Linked DNA regions of Oryzias latipes. The protein of the gene in region 3 interacts with the protein of the main gene of each other region in a pairwise test. Links are inferred from orthologs where the notes say so. Each region holds a gene or a part of one and is shown on either strand. Other genes may lie near its edges.

Evidence for each region.
Region 1: the proteins of ciapin1 (region 3) and ndor1 interact in binary tests that used the Homo sapiens proteins (3 or more experiments, as listed by UniProt). The two-hybrid records come from large-scale screens. The link is inferred for Oryzias latipes from reciprocal best matches to the Homo sapiens genes CIAPIN1 and NDOR1.
Region 2: the proteins of ciapin1 (region 3) and glrx3 interact in binary tests that used the Homo sapiens proteins (3 or more experiments, as listed by UniProt). The link is inferred for Oryzias latipes from reciprocal best matches to the Homo sapiens genes CIAPIN1 and GLRX3.

What each region holds. Positions count from the first base shown.
Region 1 is NC_019870.2:30,176,071-30,180,852, forward strand, and holds the start of ndor1 (NADPH-dependent diflavin oxidoreductase 1), read right to left. Parts: upstream 3,065-4,782; 5' UTR 2,158-3,064; coding exon 1,876-2,157; intron 1,608-1,875; coding exon 1,530-1,607; intron 1,069-1,529; coding exon 971-1,068; intron 891-970; coding exon 792-890; intron 475-791; coding exon 373-474; intron 313-372; coding exon 124-312; intron 48-123; coding exon 1-47. UniProt on the Homo sapiens protein: NADPH-dependent reductase which is a central component of the cytosolic iron-sulfur (Fe-S) protein assembly (CIA) machinery.
Region 2 is NC_019874.2:28,118,790-28,122,889, forward strand, and holds glrx3 (glutaredoxin-3), read right to left. Parts: upstream 2,581-4,100; 5' UTR 2,490-2,580; coding exon 1,509-2,489; 3' UTR 816-1,508; downstream 1-815. Other genes in the region: large proline-rich protein BAG6, read left to right, coding at 3,433-3,513, 3,599-3,716, 3,957-4,100. UniProt on the Homo sapiens protein: Together with BOLA2, acts as a cytosolic iron-sulfur (Fe-S) cluster assembly factor that facilitates [2Fe-2S] cluster insertion into a subset of cytosolic proteins.
Region 3 is NC_019864.2:27,441,879-27,446,535, reverse strand, and holds the start of ciapin1 (anamorsin), read left to right. Parts: upstream 1-1,382; 5' UTR 1,383-1,447; intron 1,448-2,436; 5' UTR 2,437-2,442; coding exon 2,443-2,599; intron 2,600-2,768; coding exon 2,769-2,912; intron 2,913-3,288; coding exon 3,289-3,368; intron 3,369-3,775; coding exon 3,776-3,944; intron 3,945-4,143; coding exon 4,144-4,220; intron 4,221-4,657. UniProt on the Homo sapiens protein: Component of the cytosolic iron-sulfur (Fe-S) protein assembly (CIA) machinery required for the maturation of extramitochondrial Fe-S proteins.

The DNA.
Region 1 (4,782 bases), on a different chromosome or scaffold from region 3:
CCGCGGCGTTACGAGGACGCATCATCACCACGTCTCCAGCAGCAAACCTGTGGGGCAGAAACAGCCCAGACCGTTGGAGGCCAAGGTGAAGACGTTCCCATGGCAACCCAGAACACCGCTGACCTCATGCTGGAACCGGTGACGTCAAACTCAATGTGCCTCACGTCCTGGAAGTGGCTCGGCTCCGTCACTCTCCTGTTGAAAACCATCCGGGCACGAAAGGGACCCGCCTCCCCCTCAGAGACCCTTAGTCTCTCATCGCCGCTCTCTCTCTCGCCCACCAGGAAGTGGAATGTGAACGTGGGAGGAAGTCTGCACAGAGGACAGCATTAGGCGGCCACAGACCCAGACGTTTTCATCCGTGGATCTTACCGCTCATCCTCTCTTAACGGGGTCACACTGGTCAAGGACGGGTAAAGGGCCAGAACCGACCCCCAAAAGGACGCGAGCCAGGGGTCCACGACGGCGTCCGGCCTGATTCAAACAACACACACAGCCCCGCCCCCAGGGTCAACCACAGAACATGGACGGAGGATTGGGTCTGAGCGAGGAGCCTGGTGCAAGACCCCGCCCTCAAATGTGCCAAGATATGAGTGGGCCCCCCCCATAATTAGAAAGACACGCCCCTAACTAGAAAGACACGCCCCTAATGATGAACAGCACTGAGCCAGAATGAAACCAACAAAGGATGATGGTTTGTGTCAAGTTCCTGCTGTCTGTGTTTTCAGAACCCAGACCAGCAGAACCAAAGCCTCCGTGAGCTCCGCCCCTTTTCCCGTCCAGACGCTTACCCCACGTCGTGCTGATCATCGCCAAGCCCAACAGGCATCAGCATGTTGGCGCCGAGCTGCAGAAGACGCTTATGAAGCTTCTTTGCCACAAAGTTGAACCTGCAACACAGACGGAAACGCCGTCAACGCTCCGCCTCTTCCACAGAAACGGGTCGAACGCCTTCAGCGATGGGACCCACTTGGGATAGGAGGAATCCCCCAGACCCAGCACGGCACAGTCCAGCCGGCTCAGAGAGCCCCCGGGTAAAGACTTCCTGAAGAGAAACCTCCAGAAGTTCTGGGAAGAGAGATCCAAGCAGAGAAACCATCAGGGGTTCAAAGGTCGCCTCAGAACCACAGAATCTGTGTTCTAGATCAGTTCACAAAAGAGAGACTGAAGTGAAATGAATATTTGATATTTCTACACTTTCCCTTCAAACCAGCCTCACAGGTTCACTCCCAGGGGGTCTGGGGGTTCTGGGGGGTCTGAAATTGGGGTCAGATACCAAAGTGGTGCCGATGATCCTCATCAAAGTCGTGGACTGAAACAGAAACGGCTTCAGAACCGCCTCAGGATGGCAGAAAACCACATCCACTGAGGATCTGGGGGGTTCTGGGGGGGCGTGGACCTGGGGGAGCAGCTGGTTTTCCAGGAAGGAAAGGCCAAACTCTTCCTTCAGTCTCTCATTTGTGGATCCATTTCCTCTCTGAAAGCTGGCTTTGTTCTGTGACTGACAGCAGGAGACTCCGCCCTCTTACCTTCATGTTGTCCGGAGGCTCTCCCTGTCCGGCGGTGGAGCAGACAAACACCACCAGAGACTCTGCAATCAGGTCGGCCTGTTGGAGGAACAGAAACTGCAGAGGAATCCAGGCTAACGGAGGGAAGCAGAGCAGCAGGGATGGACCGGATCTGCTGAGCATCCAGTCCAAAACCAGTCTGTTTCTCTCCACATAAATCCAGACAGCCTCCCAAATTCAACTTAGTCATCCTCACCAACAGAACCTTCAGAACCCCAATCCCACACATCACAATCCTCTGAAAAAGTCCTGCTGGAACCGTGAGGCCCAACTGGACTGACGGTTCCAGCAACCGCAGCAAACTCACCACGGCGTAGCTGTCCAGAGCCATCACCCGGACCGGCAGCCGCCTCCTCTGCGCCTGCCGGCCGATCCTCTGGGCCGCATCCTGGGCCGTGCCGGTCTGGCTCCCGTACAGAACCAGCAGGGACGGGATGGACATGGTGCCTAGAGGGAAACGTAAAGAACAGACCAGAACCTGACAGAACTCCTCTGTCCGTGGGTCCTGCACGTGCACGGACCCACGTGCACGGACCCAAAAGTCCTCCTCAGATGAACTGAAAACAACTGATCCAACATTTCCAGCCATGAGCGGATTTCCTCTTAGAGCGACTCCGTAAAAATGTTCAGATTTTATTATTTACTCATAAATGTTTGTTCAGTTTAACGCTGAGCTTTAGGGCCCAAAGCGCCGGACACGCCCACACGGACACGCCCACACGGACGGACACGGACAGACACGCCCCCATACGCCATGGGGTTCAGCGTCTTGCCCAAAGACACACGGACAGGGCAGAACTCAACCTCGATCTTGTGATCAGTGGTCGACCGCTCCACCTCTGAGCCGCGGCTGCTGCCACAGTTTGAATCCCTCATAAACTGAAAGGCTTTTTCAGAACTAAACAGACTTTTGTTCAAATAAACGGACATTTCTTGAGTTGAATTGAAGAAAACTCAGAAAAATTCTTTCCTTCTACGAACGTGGATCCGATCCACGATGAGTTCTGAAAAAATCCACTTTGTGGACCGAACTTGGACGTGGTTCCGTCTTTCACCGTCTCACTAGAATCCCACAGAACCGGTCAGGTTCACTAAACGTCAGTCTGTGAAGAAGACGGAACCAGAACTTCTGCTGGTTTCTGCCAGAGTATTGGTCGGGTTCTGCTTCATCACTGAAGAGGAACTGGACCCACGTGGGTCTGAAGGCAGAACAGATCTGTAACAAACCTGGAGTTCAGTAACCAGGATGATTACACCATCTTACATCCCATAATGCATTGCAGACAGACTAGAGGCAGTTCTAGTGTCTAATTCTTCCTATCAAACACATTCCCGTGCAGCAGAACACTGCAGATGTAGTTCACATAGATCAGCACCACACACAGACAGGACTCCTTCATCTCGCGGCTGCGTTACAGACACAAACAGGAACGTCACGTGGTTATTTACGTATCTCTGACTGAAACTGCCCCGAACACCAGGTTGGACACCAAACTACTGACCTTCTACCGCTTCGGATCCCGAGTCCACATCCAGCTTCCGGCCTTTCTTCTTGGCGTTAATTGGCGGGAGTCTGGTTTCCAGTTCTGCTCACTACCGCCACCTACTGAAGTGGAGGTCCACCAGGATCCGCTTCAGACCACAGACGGTGAATCTGTCCATGCTGCAGTCAGACAGATGGGGGGCTTTCTAGGAGGGGTCCTCTGTCCTCCTGTCTGTCTTCCAGCCAATCACAGCTCAGCTTTTCCGGACCTCAACGCCCACCCTGAGCTCAACGTCAACAAAAGTGATGGTGGTGACCTTCTCCCCCAGACACAGACGGCCCCCGCCATCCGCCATGGAGGTGAAGGAGCACAGGAACCTGGGAGCCATCTTTGACCCTCTGAGGTTCTCCTCCAACGCCAAGGCCGTTCTAACAAGGTGCCTGAGAAGACCCAGAGGAAATGGTAAAAACAATCTCATGAAAGCAAATCAAATCAATCCCAGATGCATTAAACTGTTGCAGTGTCGCATTTAGTGCAGGTGGCTGTGGTACGGAGGTAAGCCGGTTGAAGTTGGACTGATAAATGGTTTAAACCTGTGGTTATAGGTTAGTGTCAGAGTTTGACAGCAGTGTGAATGTGTTGATGGCGTCAGCTGTTGGTCAGCGGTTGATCAGCTGTTGGTCAGCGGCTGATCAGCTGTTGATCAGCTGTTGGTCAGCGGCTGATCAGCTGTTGATCAGCTGTTGATCAGCGGCTGATCAGCTGTTGATCAGCTGTTGGTCAGCGGCTGATCAGCTGTTGATCAGCGGTTGATCAGCTGTTGGTCAGCGGTTGATCAGCTGTTGGTCAGCGGCTGATCAGCTGTTGGTCAGCGGTTGATCAGCGGTTGATCAGCTGTTGATCAGCTGTTGGTCAGCGGTTGATCAGCTGTTGGTCAGCGGCTGATCAGCTGTTGGTCAGCGGTTGATCAGCGGTTGATCAGCTGTTGATCAGCTGTTGGTCAGCTGTTGATCAGCTGTTGGTCAGCGGCTGATCAGCTGTTGGTCAGCTCATATCTTATCCTACATCCCATAATACACTGCACTAAAAGCTGTGCTGCTGTGTTTAGTGGTTCAGGTCTTGGTGGCTTCACCACATCGTAGAGTTCCCTTGTCTGGGACCATCAGAACATCGTCATGATTTTATGATCCATGTTTTCGACTAATAGAATAATAATAACACATGATGAGTTAGAGAGGATTCATCAGATCCTAACTGTATTTAATGACCCTTGAATGGTCAAAACTCACCGCTTTATTTGACATTTACAAACATGGAGGCAAATCGATGTCCTTCATGAAAAAGCAAAAGAGTTTTTCTAAACTGTTGAGAGAATAATAAAATACTTAATTATACATATTTGAAACAAAGAGAAGGTAAAAGTGTCCAAGAAAATGGAATATTTTTTTATCTTTCTGTCATTTGAAATGCAAATCCTTCTTCCTGCTATCTAATGTTCTACTTTGGTATTTAGGAACATTTGTTCACACAGGAATATCCTCATTGTTTCAACAGCTTTCTCTGTTTTCTAATCTGTCTTTGCAGACTTGATCAGCTACAGAAGGCGTCAGATGCCTTTACACAGGAAGTTGATCCAAAAGTGGATCGACCGACTATTGAAGAGTTCTCCGTTTCTGGAAACGTTTGCACTAAAACATTTTTGACCCTTGTGTTATCTTAGATGACCCCCC
Region 2 (4,100 bases), on a different chromosome or scaffold from region 3:
CATAATCATAATTAAAAGACCAGGAACACTTTTACGATGGATTGAAAAAAAAAAAGATTGGAGTGGGACTTTAAGGTAGCTCTATATTTAACAAGACTCTACTATATACCCATCTTTAAACATTTGAAGCCTAGTGTTTACATAATCCATCTTCTAAACGTTGTAAAATTTTAACAAAACCTTTAAATCTGGCTTCATCTTTCCTTTAGATTACTAGGAAATGTTTAAACAATCTTAATGAGTATCTCCTTTTTTTGCATTTTATACTAAAAGTAAGTTTAGGTATTAAAACTCGATTTGAAATAATAGAAATGCAATATTAACTCCTGGTGATATCATTTTACAAAAAAACTCAGTGAACAGACCAGAGGTCTGAAACCTGAGGCTCCAGAACTACATGCTACTTTTATCCCTGCATTCTTTGGCTTTACTATTAATTACGGTTAATTAAGTTTGACATTTCAGGTTGGATTTTTAATATATTAGACGATTGATCAAAAATGATGGTAAGCTATTTCATTTACTGTCAGAAAGATTTGGTAGAATAAGGTAGCAGCGTTTTTTTTTTGCTGTTTAGAGGCAAAGGTACTCAAGTGCATAGGTACATGTACATTTATAGATTTTTTAAAAAGGATTCTACACCAATGCTGTCACGTTTCTATTAGTTATCAAAATGAGAAATGAGAAAAAGGACGAAGGCACCCCAAAGTCATGACAGAAAATGTCATGATTGACATGTATTTTAAATTCAAGTAAATCGGAGCTTTTTCACACAGGGTGTTTTATTTTGAAAGGAACTTGTATGTGCTGCCGTCTAAAGTAAAATAGATTCAATTTTATTACGTGTATAAAACAATACATTTTAGAATGCAATTGTAAATATTTCAAAGCTACATTTTATAAATGAATTAATAAATGATCACAAAAACATAAAGTGTTTTTTTTTATAACAGTGAAGTTGGACTTCATGGCTCTTGCTGGGTTCTTTTAATGTGAAAGGTTCCAGAACCCTGATACTGTTGGTGCTTTTACATTTACGCCCACAAGGTGGCGCCAGAAAACCTGTCACACGTGCTTACTATACCACATGTATTACAAACGTGACATGCTGCTGCTTTTAACAATTTTATTGAGTGTGAGCTTTAGTGCATGAGCTCTGTTCAAACTTTTTTCTCATTTCAAAGTAAACTCAGTTTACTACAGCCAGTTCACCTCTTTACAGGCAAAAAATAAAACAAATAGAAACGTTTTGTTCTATTTTGATGGGAAATTTATTATAGGCTGGAATTTGCAGTGAACATGAGTAGATTTTCAGCTTCTCTGGTGGTGTTCTTGTCATAAAGATGAGGATGGAGAGTCAGCAGCTTCACGTCATCTGAAAGTCTGTGAAAAAAGAAGAACGTTTCCCACGATCAAAGCCGACGAGCAGCTTCTTTGACCTCCTGGGACCTCTGAGGGGTGCAGCAGCTGGTGCAGGCCTGTGCAGTGATGTCCTGTTCCCCGTCCATCTACGACTCCCCCCTCAGTACCGACTCCAGCTCCCCACTCTCCTTCAGCTCCTTCACTATGTCCAGGCCCCCGATCAGCTCCCCTTTCACGTAGAGCTGGGGATAGGTGGGCCAGTTGGAGTACGCCTTCAGGCCCTGACGGACCTCTTCGTCCGACAGGATGTCAAAGGTGTCAAAGTCCACCCCCGTGGAGTTCAGGACCTCCAGGATCTGCCTGCTGAAGCCACAGCGCGCCGCCTCCTTGTTGCCCTTCATGAACAGCATGACGGGGCTCTGGTTGATGATGGCCTTCAGGCGGTGCTCCAGGGTCACGGCCTTTGGGCAGGTGGTCTCCAGCTCCCCGGACTCGGCCAGCTCCTTCACGATGTCCAGCCCCCCCAGCAGCTCTCCGTTCACGTACAGCTGGGGGTAGGTGGGCCAGTTGGAGTACGCCTTCAGGCCCTGACGGACCTCTTCGTCTGACAGGATGTCAAAGGTGCTGAACTGGACGCTGTGCTCCTTGAGCAGCGCCACCATCTGGCGGCTGAAGCCGCAGCGGGGCTCCTGCGGGGAGCCCTTCATGAACAGCACGCAGGGCGCCGCGTTGATCAGCTTCTTCAGCCGCTGGTTCAAGTCCGCGGCGCCGCCGTCCGCGGCTCCTCCTGGGGCGGGCCCGCTACCCGCCAGGCCCTGGACCTTCTTAGTCAGCTCCGCAGCGTGCGCCCCGTCCAGACGATCCACCTTCTCACCCCCCTTGAAGAAGATAAAAGTGGGGACGGAGGATATGTCATACTTTTCCGACACATCGGGAACAGCCTCCGCCTCCAGCTTCACAAACGTCGCGTGCGCGTGTGCCTTGGCCAGCTCGGCCATCACTTCGTTCATGTCGCCGCACTGAGGAGCCCATGCCGCCTGGAAATGTACAACCGCGAGGTTTTTTCCAGCTTTTGCAAGGAAATCCTCGAACTGTTGTCGGCTCGTCGCCTCTAGCACATTCGCCATCTTTGCTTCTTTGACCTCGACAGCAGTCCGGCGGCTTTCTGACGTCACATCCGTTCAGCCCTAAAAGCTGTTAGCTGTAGCATAGCCGCGACGCACCGGAGAAGTGCTCGGCTTTCTGAATATAAGAGCCTCCTGTGGACTCTGGATACGTTAAAAAACATTGTATGATTTAAAAGGTAAGCGTTTGACGGTGTGACGCATAAAAAACGGAATGTTCTGCGCTTAAGCATTAGTAGCGACACGACAGATCAGTTAGCATCTTTAGCTAATCTGTTTGGCTAATTAGCCAGTCGGCGTTTATTTGGTTCCTAAAAAAAGTAATCCTGCTGAAGAGCAAGTGGCGATATGTTACTTTCTATCTTTTGTTATACTGTCTGTCCTAAATCTTAGTTTAATATTACATCGCTCCTGTCCTTGTTTAGCGAATACAGCCGGGCTAACTGTTTTTGGCTAACGCTAGTACAGGGAGTCCGTCTTTGGGAAAAAAACAAAGCATTAAATCAAATTTAACCCACTGAGTCTAACATAAAGATATAGATGCTATTTTACGTTAATTGTATGTTTATTAAAATTCTTGTTTAGGAAATAGCTCAGTTAATAATGTATTTTAAATTAGAGCTAAATAATTCAGCTGATTGTAGTTATCCGGATTCCTTAGTTAGAGATTTTATTTTCTAGACTAAAGGCTGGTTAATAAATTCACTTCAACGTTGCCTGTTTGTTAAAAAGAAGAGGTGATCTAGATGATTGCTGAAAAATTGGAAACTACGCTCACTGTTCTTCATAAACTTATAAACATGCCGTGGACGCACCATGCTTGTTGAACAGATTGTTAAATAACCTGGTGCTTATCAAAATTTTTGTAAAAGTGTACAAACACTTTAAAAAGTCACATAAACAGAATAATTTGTAATTGAAGATGTAATACAATTGCAGGAACGCTATGGATGAACAAACCTCAGACATAGAAGTGACGGTCAAAACTCTGGACTCTCAGAGCAGAACCTACTCAGTCGGTGCTCAGGTAAATGGAAAGTTCCTGCTGTAAATATTTGGGTAGTTTCCTTTTGTCTTTTATGATCTGACTGAAATGATCCATTGTTTTGCAGCTGACAGTTAAAGAGTTCAAAGAGCACATTTCTCCTTCAGTGGGCATCCCTGTGGACAAACAGAGGCTCATCTACCAGGGCAGAGTACTGCAGGATGAAAGGACGCTGGCAGACTACAGTTAGTCAAAGGATATATTAAATCTTCCTCCTCTTAACCTTTCAGCTTGTTGCTTCAGGGAGTCTCTCCATCTGAACATCCCTTCTGCCTCCTTTCAATCACACCACCAAGGAGCATTTCAAAACTATTTCTTTTAAGTAAAAATTCTGTCATTGAATTAGTTTTTGGTTCCATCTGCTCTTTCTGCTGATTTGCCACTGCTTCTGTTTTAGCTGACCATATTCTCCGCTACTCTTGTAGATGTGGCTGGAAAGGTGATTCACCTTGTGGAGCGGGCCCCCCCTCCACCCTCCCAGCCTGGCTCGGGGTCAGGGGCCACCGCAGCCGACAGCGGGCAGTCTTCATCCTCCCAGGGAGCATCGCAGGTGCCTCCACACGATCGCA
Region 3 (4,657 bases):
AATTAAAAATAAATGTAACTACTTCTTAATGTTAATTAACTAATTATTTATTTATCATAACTTTTTAAAGAGACAATTGCAGTTGCATAGAAAACACATGATTGCTTGTTACTCTGGCATTAATGAGCGGCCTTGGTCGCCTTTCAGGCAGACTACTCTAGCAGTGTTTTACTCGGTTACTCCCCTACGGCGGTTCAGTTAATCAACTCACCTGTTCAGTGTCCTATTTAAGTCCAGGTGTGCAGTTGTTCACTCTCTTTCTTTACCGAAAGCGCTGCGTTCGTCGCCCCACCCTCCACCCCGGCTTCCACCTGTGAGCTCCGTTAGGGGTAGTTATTACACAAAGGTTTTATGGAAATCTTGTCTCATGGAATTGCACGGAGCCATATGCCAAACTAAAAGAATGTGACAATAAATATTTTTTACTGCATGAGTTGTTTGACTGAAATCCTTTAAATTTGATTTTGTCAGGTTAGGTTATATGGAAAGTGTTTAAGTCCTAATGTATAGTAGCCCAATCCGATCTTTCAAGTCAGATTCACCCTAGATATGAATAAATACACATCAGTTTTTATTTTAATTTTAAGAAATTAAAAACCTTCATGCTCTCGCGGGCCACATAAAATGACATGGCGGGCCACATTTGGCCTTGAGTTTGACAAATGTGCCATAGACTGTAAAAACAATGGACGTATCGAGGTGTGATGTCACCCATAGAAGATGCCATGTTCCACCTCTCGCAAAATGAGGCCAAATCCCTCACCATTGCTTCCTGATATGGGCGCTGCCATGTTGAAACCAGTCAACAGTGATTGGTCCTCGTCACTCTGAGTCATTGTATCTATGGCAACTACTGTCACCAAACAGGAGTGAGCTTATTGTGAGTCCCACCTCTATCCACCCCTCTACATCTTGGACACTGCTTTTCCATTAATGATAAAATTTCTCAAATTGGATTTGTAACAATAAATTCATCTAATGGAAACATGTCGATGGCGAAAACACTTGCATTTATCGTAAAAAATGTTTGTGCTTGGAGGAGGTGGTTTTTGAGGCATATCGAAATGGACATATTTCGCAAAACTGCAATGGACATACTTTTTGTAGTCTATGATCAATTCAATCCTTGTTGCAAAATGACTACAAAAAAGGCTATAAATTTTATCTTATTATCTTGCACTATCACAATTTTTCTTTTTTTTTGTAAGTTTTTGTGTCATTTTTTTAAGTATCAAACTTCAGATAAGCAGTGCTCTAACTAATACTCAGTATTGTATGAAATGCTTTTCAACCTGTTACCATTACTTTTTGGTTTTACCTGTCACATTTGCAGTAACGTCATTCTTCCTGGCCATTGGACTGTTTCACATTTTATTTTGAAAATATAAATCGGAAACTTGCTTCTGACGTCATTAACTCGACTTCGTAACTGTCGACAGGACAGCAGGTGAGTTACGTTTGTGTCCCGGTAAACAATCCTTTAAATGTCTGTGTTATGTTACTTTTGGTGCTTTAATTACAGTGTTACAACAGAAATGCAACATTAAAGTGTTTCATTCGCGCGGAAGCGTTTCCGGGTTCTAACAGTAGATAAATATATTTTTTAAATGTCTCTAGTAATTTAGTTTCTTTCTGCGTCATTGTTTTCTCTTCTTTAATAATTAGCGACTAACTAGCGCATTTTGCTGTCAGAAATCTAATCAATTTTTAGGCACTTTAATTTATTTTTATCAGCAGAATGAAATAAAATAATTTTCTGGATCGTTTCTTTGTTCGGGGTCTTGCTACAGTTTTGTTTACCTTAGTTTGTAACAAAAGCACTGAGCGTGTTAAAAAGAAAATAAAAAAAAATAGAATTGTGTTTTCTAAAACTGCTTCCTTTAAACTTGATATAATAATTCTACAATAAGATGACTTCCAGCTAAAGTTTAAATTTATCTAAGTAATTAATAGGAAATCTAAATACTTTTTTCTGTTTTCATAACTTTTGCAAATATATATAAACTGCTTTGATGAGTTCAATTAAAGCAGAGCTACTGTTTACATACTCGGGGCGTGTTAACATTATAACACAGCTTTTTATAATGTACATTTTGGCAAAATCTCAGTATAAAGTCATCAACTGTCCAGGAATTGTATTTCTAAGGCAACTTGGTAACTGGATCTAATTGCAGTTTTCTTTGACTTTGGCAGATCGGCAACCTGTTATTTCCTCTCCTAGTATTATAACTTTGTTGCTGCATAAATACCACCTTCCTTGCTTTGTATTGTTTGCCGCTTTGCAGTTTAAGTTGCTGGAATTTAATGGGCAAACATCAGTAATCGTCACTTGCAGCCCGCATGTACCATCCTGTCTGTCGATGGAGAAGTCCTCCTTCTTTCTCCAGGAAGCTGCAAATAAGCTGAAGTTTGTCTTGCATTGCATTCCTTTTTAAGTCAGCGATGGCCGACCTTGGCATGAAAGCGGGAGACAAAGTCCTGCTGGTGTGGGCACAGCCGTCAACGCCTGCCGCCTTGAAACCGTACGCAGAGGAACTGGGAGCTGCTGTTGGTGCAGATGGAAAAGTTTCTGTGGAAAACATGGAGAGACTGGTGCTTTGTGAGTTATTCTAAAAAAAAAGAATGGATTTTTTTTCATGAACAGAATCATTTGTGCTTGAGAAAATCATGGAGAGCATCAGAGTTTAACATGAATGGTTTGTTTTATCAGACTAACATTTGTTGTACTTGAGGAAACGCCTCTGACAGAAATCCTCTCGCCTTCTCAGCTGCTCACCCTGTGTCCACCTATGACTGGGTGCTCTCCTGCCTTCTGACTGACAGCTCTTCCACCCATAGTCCAGAAGCTCTAGCAGAGATGATCAGAGTTCTAAAACCCGGTGGGAGTTTGGTCCTGGAAGAGCCAGTTACGGGTAAGAGACCCACTTTTAGGGGTTTAAAAGAAGACCAGATGGGTGAAGAGTTCAGTGTTTTCCCTGCAGCTGCTGCAGAATCTCCTCCCGTTCTCCACATGAGTTTGGTGATTATGATCAAAGATGGAAGTCTGCATTTATGCCAGAGGCTGCTTTCAGTTTTGGTTGTTTTTACACTTTAATCAAAGTTAAACTGACATGAAACTTTTTACATTTTAGGACGAGGTATTATTATTTTAAAGCTGCACATCTGAGCAAATTGTGTCCTGATTCAGTTCATATCTCTTGTTAGATTCAGACACTCAAACCAGTGGAGATCAGAAAAAAGGCGTTAAAAGCCAGGATTGTGTTTTTTCCTTTTCCGTTTGTGTTGCAGCCACAGAAGCACAGAGCGTGAGAACGGCAGAGAAGCTGGTGTCGGCGCTGAAACTGTCTGGCTTCATGTCAATAACAGAGGTGATGGCATTCACACATTTTGGACTCACAGCGTTCGTCTGCGAGGGTGTGATGACTTTTTCAAACTTCAGTTGGTTCACTGCAACTCAGTTAAACGTGTTTTTTTCATTCAACTCAAAGGAAAATTATTTGTTATGGTTTCAAACAATTGTTTAGGTCTAAAAGTTTTTTAAAGAACATGATCTTCATCACAGATATAACAAAGTTTTAGCTGTAAGTAATCATTGAAAAATATTCTCATAGTTCTTAACATTAAGTAATTCATAGTGAAGAATTTTTATTATTCAAAACATTTTGACGCTGATGAAATGTTAAAATATATCTAAAGTTAAGTTAGTTTGAATCTAGATCCTACTTTTTTGTGTACTTTAATATTTCACATTTTCCTCGTCTTTCTTTCCTTTCAGGTCAGTAAATCGGAGCTCACTCCCGCCGCACTGAGCTCTCTCAGGGAGACCACTGGTTACCAAGGAGACGCCCTGTCTCGAGTGCGGATCAAGGCCTGTAAACCCAACTATGAGGTGGGGTCGTCCAGCCAGATCAAACTGTCCTTCGGGAAGAAGACGGCAAACTCGGGTCTGTTTCTAAAAGCTATGCTCTTCATCTTCTCTGAAATTTAGATCTAATAACATCAACATCAAAAGGGAAATTATGTTTATTATTTTCAGTTTCATGACTAGTTCTTTTTTTCAATAACAAAAAATAATTTGAATGTCTCTGATTTAGAGAACAATTCGAAGGAAAAACCAAATGTTTTTGTTTGTTTTGTCTTCAGCAGAGAAACCTGCGCTGGACCCAAACACGGTGAAAATGTGGACGCTGTCAGCCAACGACATGAACGACGACGACGTGGTGAGTTCCAGCTGTAGGTCGGAGGTCAACTTCTGTCAGAGTACGGCTCTCTGATCCTCACCACATCACCGACCGCGACGTTGGAGACCTTTGGCAGTATTTCTGTTTTTTACTGACAAATGTGAATAATTCTTGGAGAAGTTTTGCTTTTAAAAGCTTGTTTTAATTGAAATTTCCAAACACATTTTTTTCTTTCAAGGTTTTGCTTCTCTCCTTAAATGCCTCTTTTACTCTCAGCTTTTGTGTTATTTTATCAACAGAAGATAAAAAAAGACAAAACTTCAAACTCCTTTCTACAGAGCCCATAACCTGACATATGGGGATAAAAAAATGAATGAAATCATTCCAAGAACTTTGATTTTATTACCACGAAAAAGTATTTAATTCCCTCAATATACTATTTCATTTGAACAAAGAAGTATTTAAAATGAAGCAAA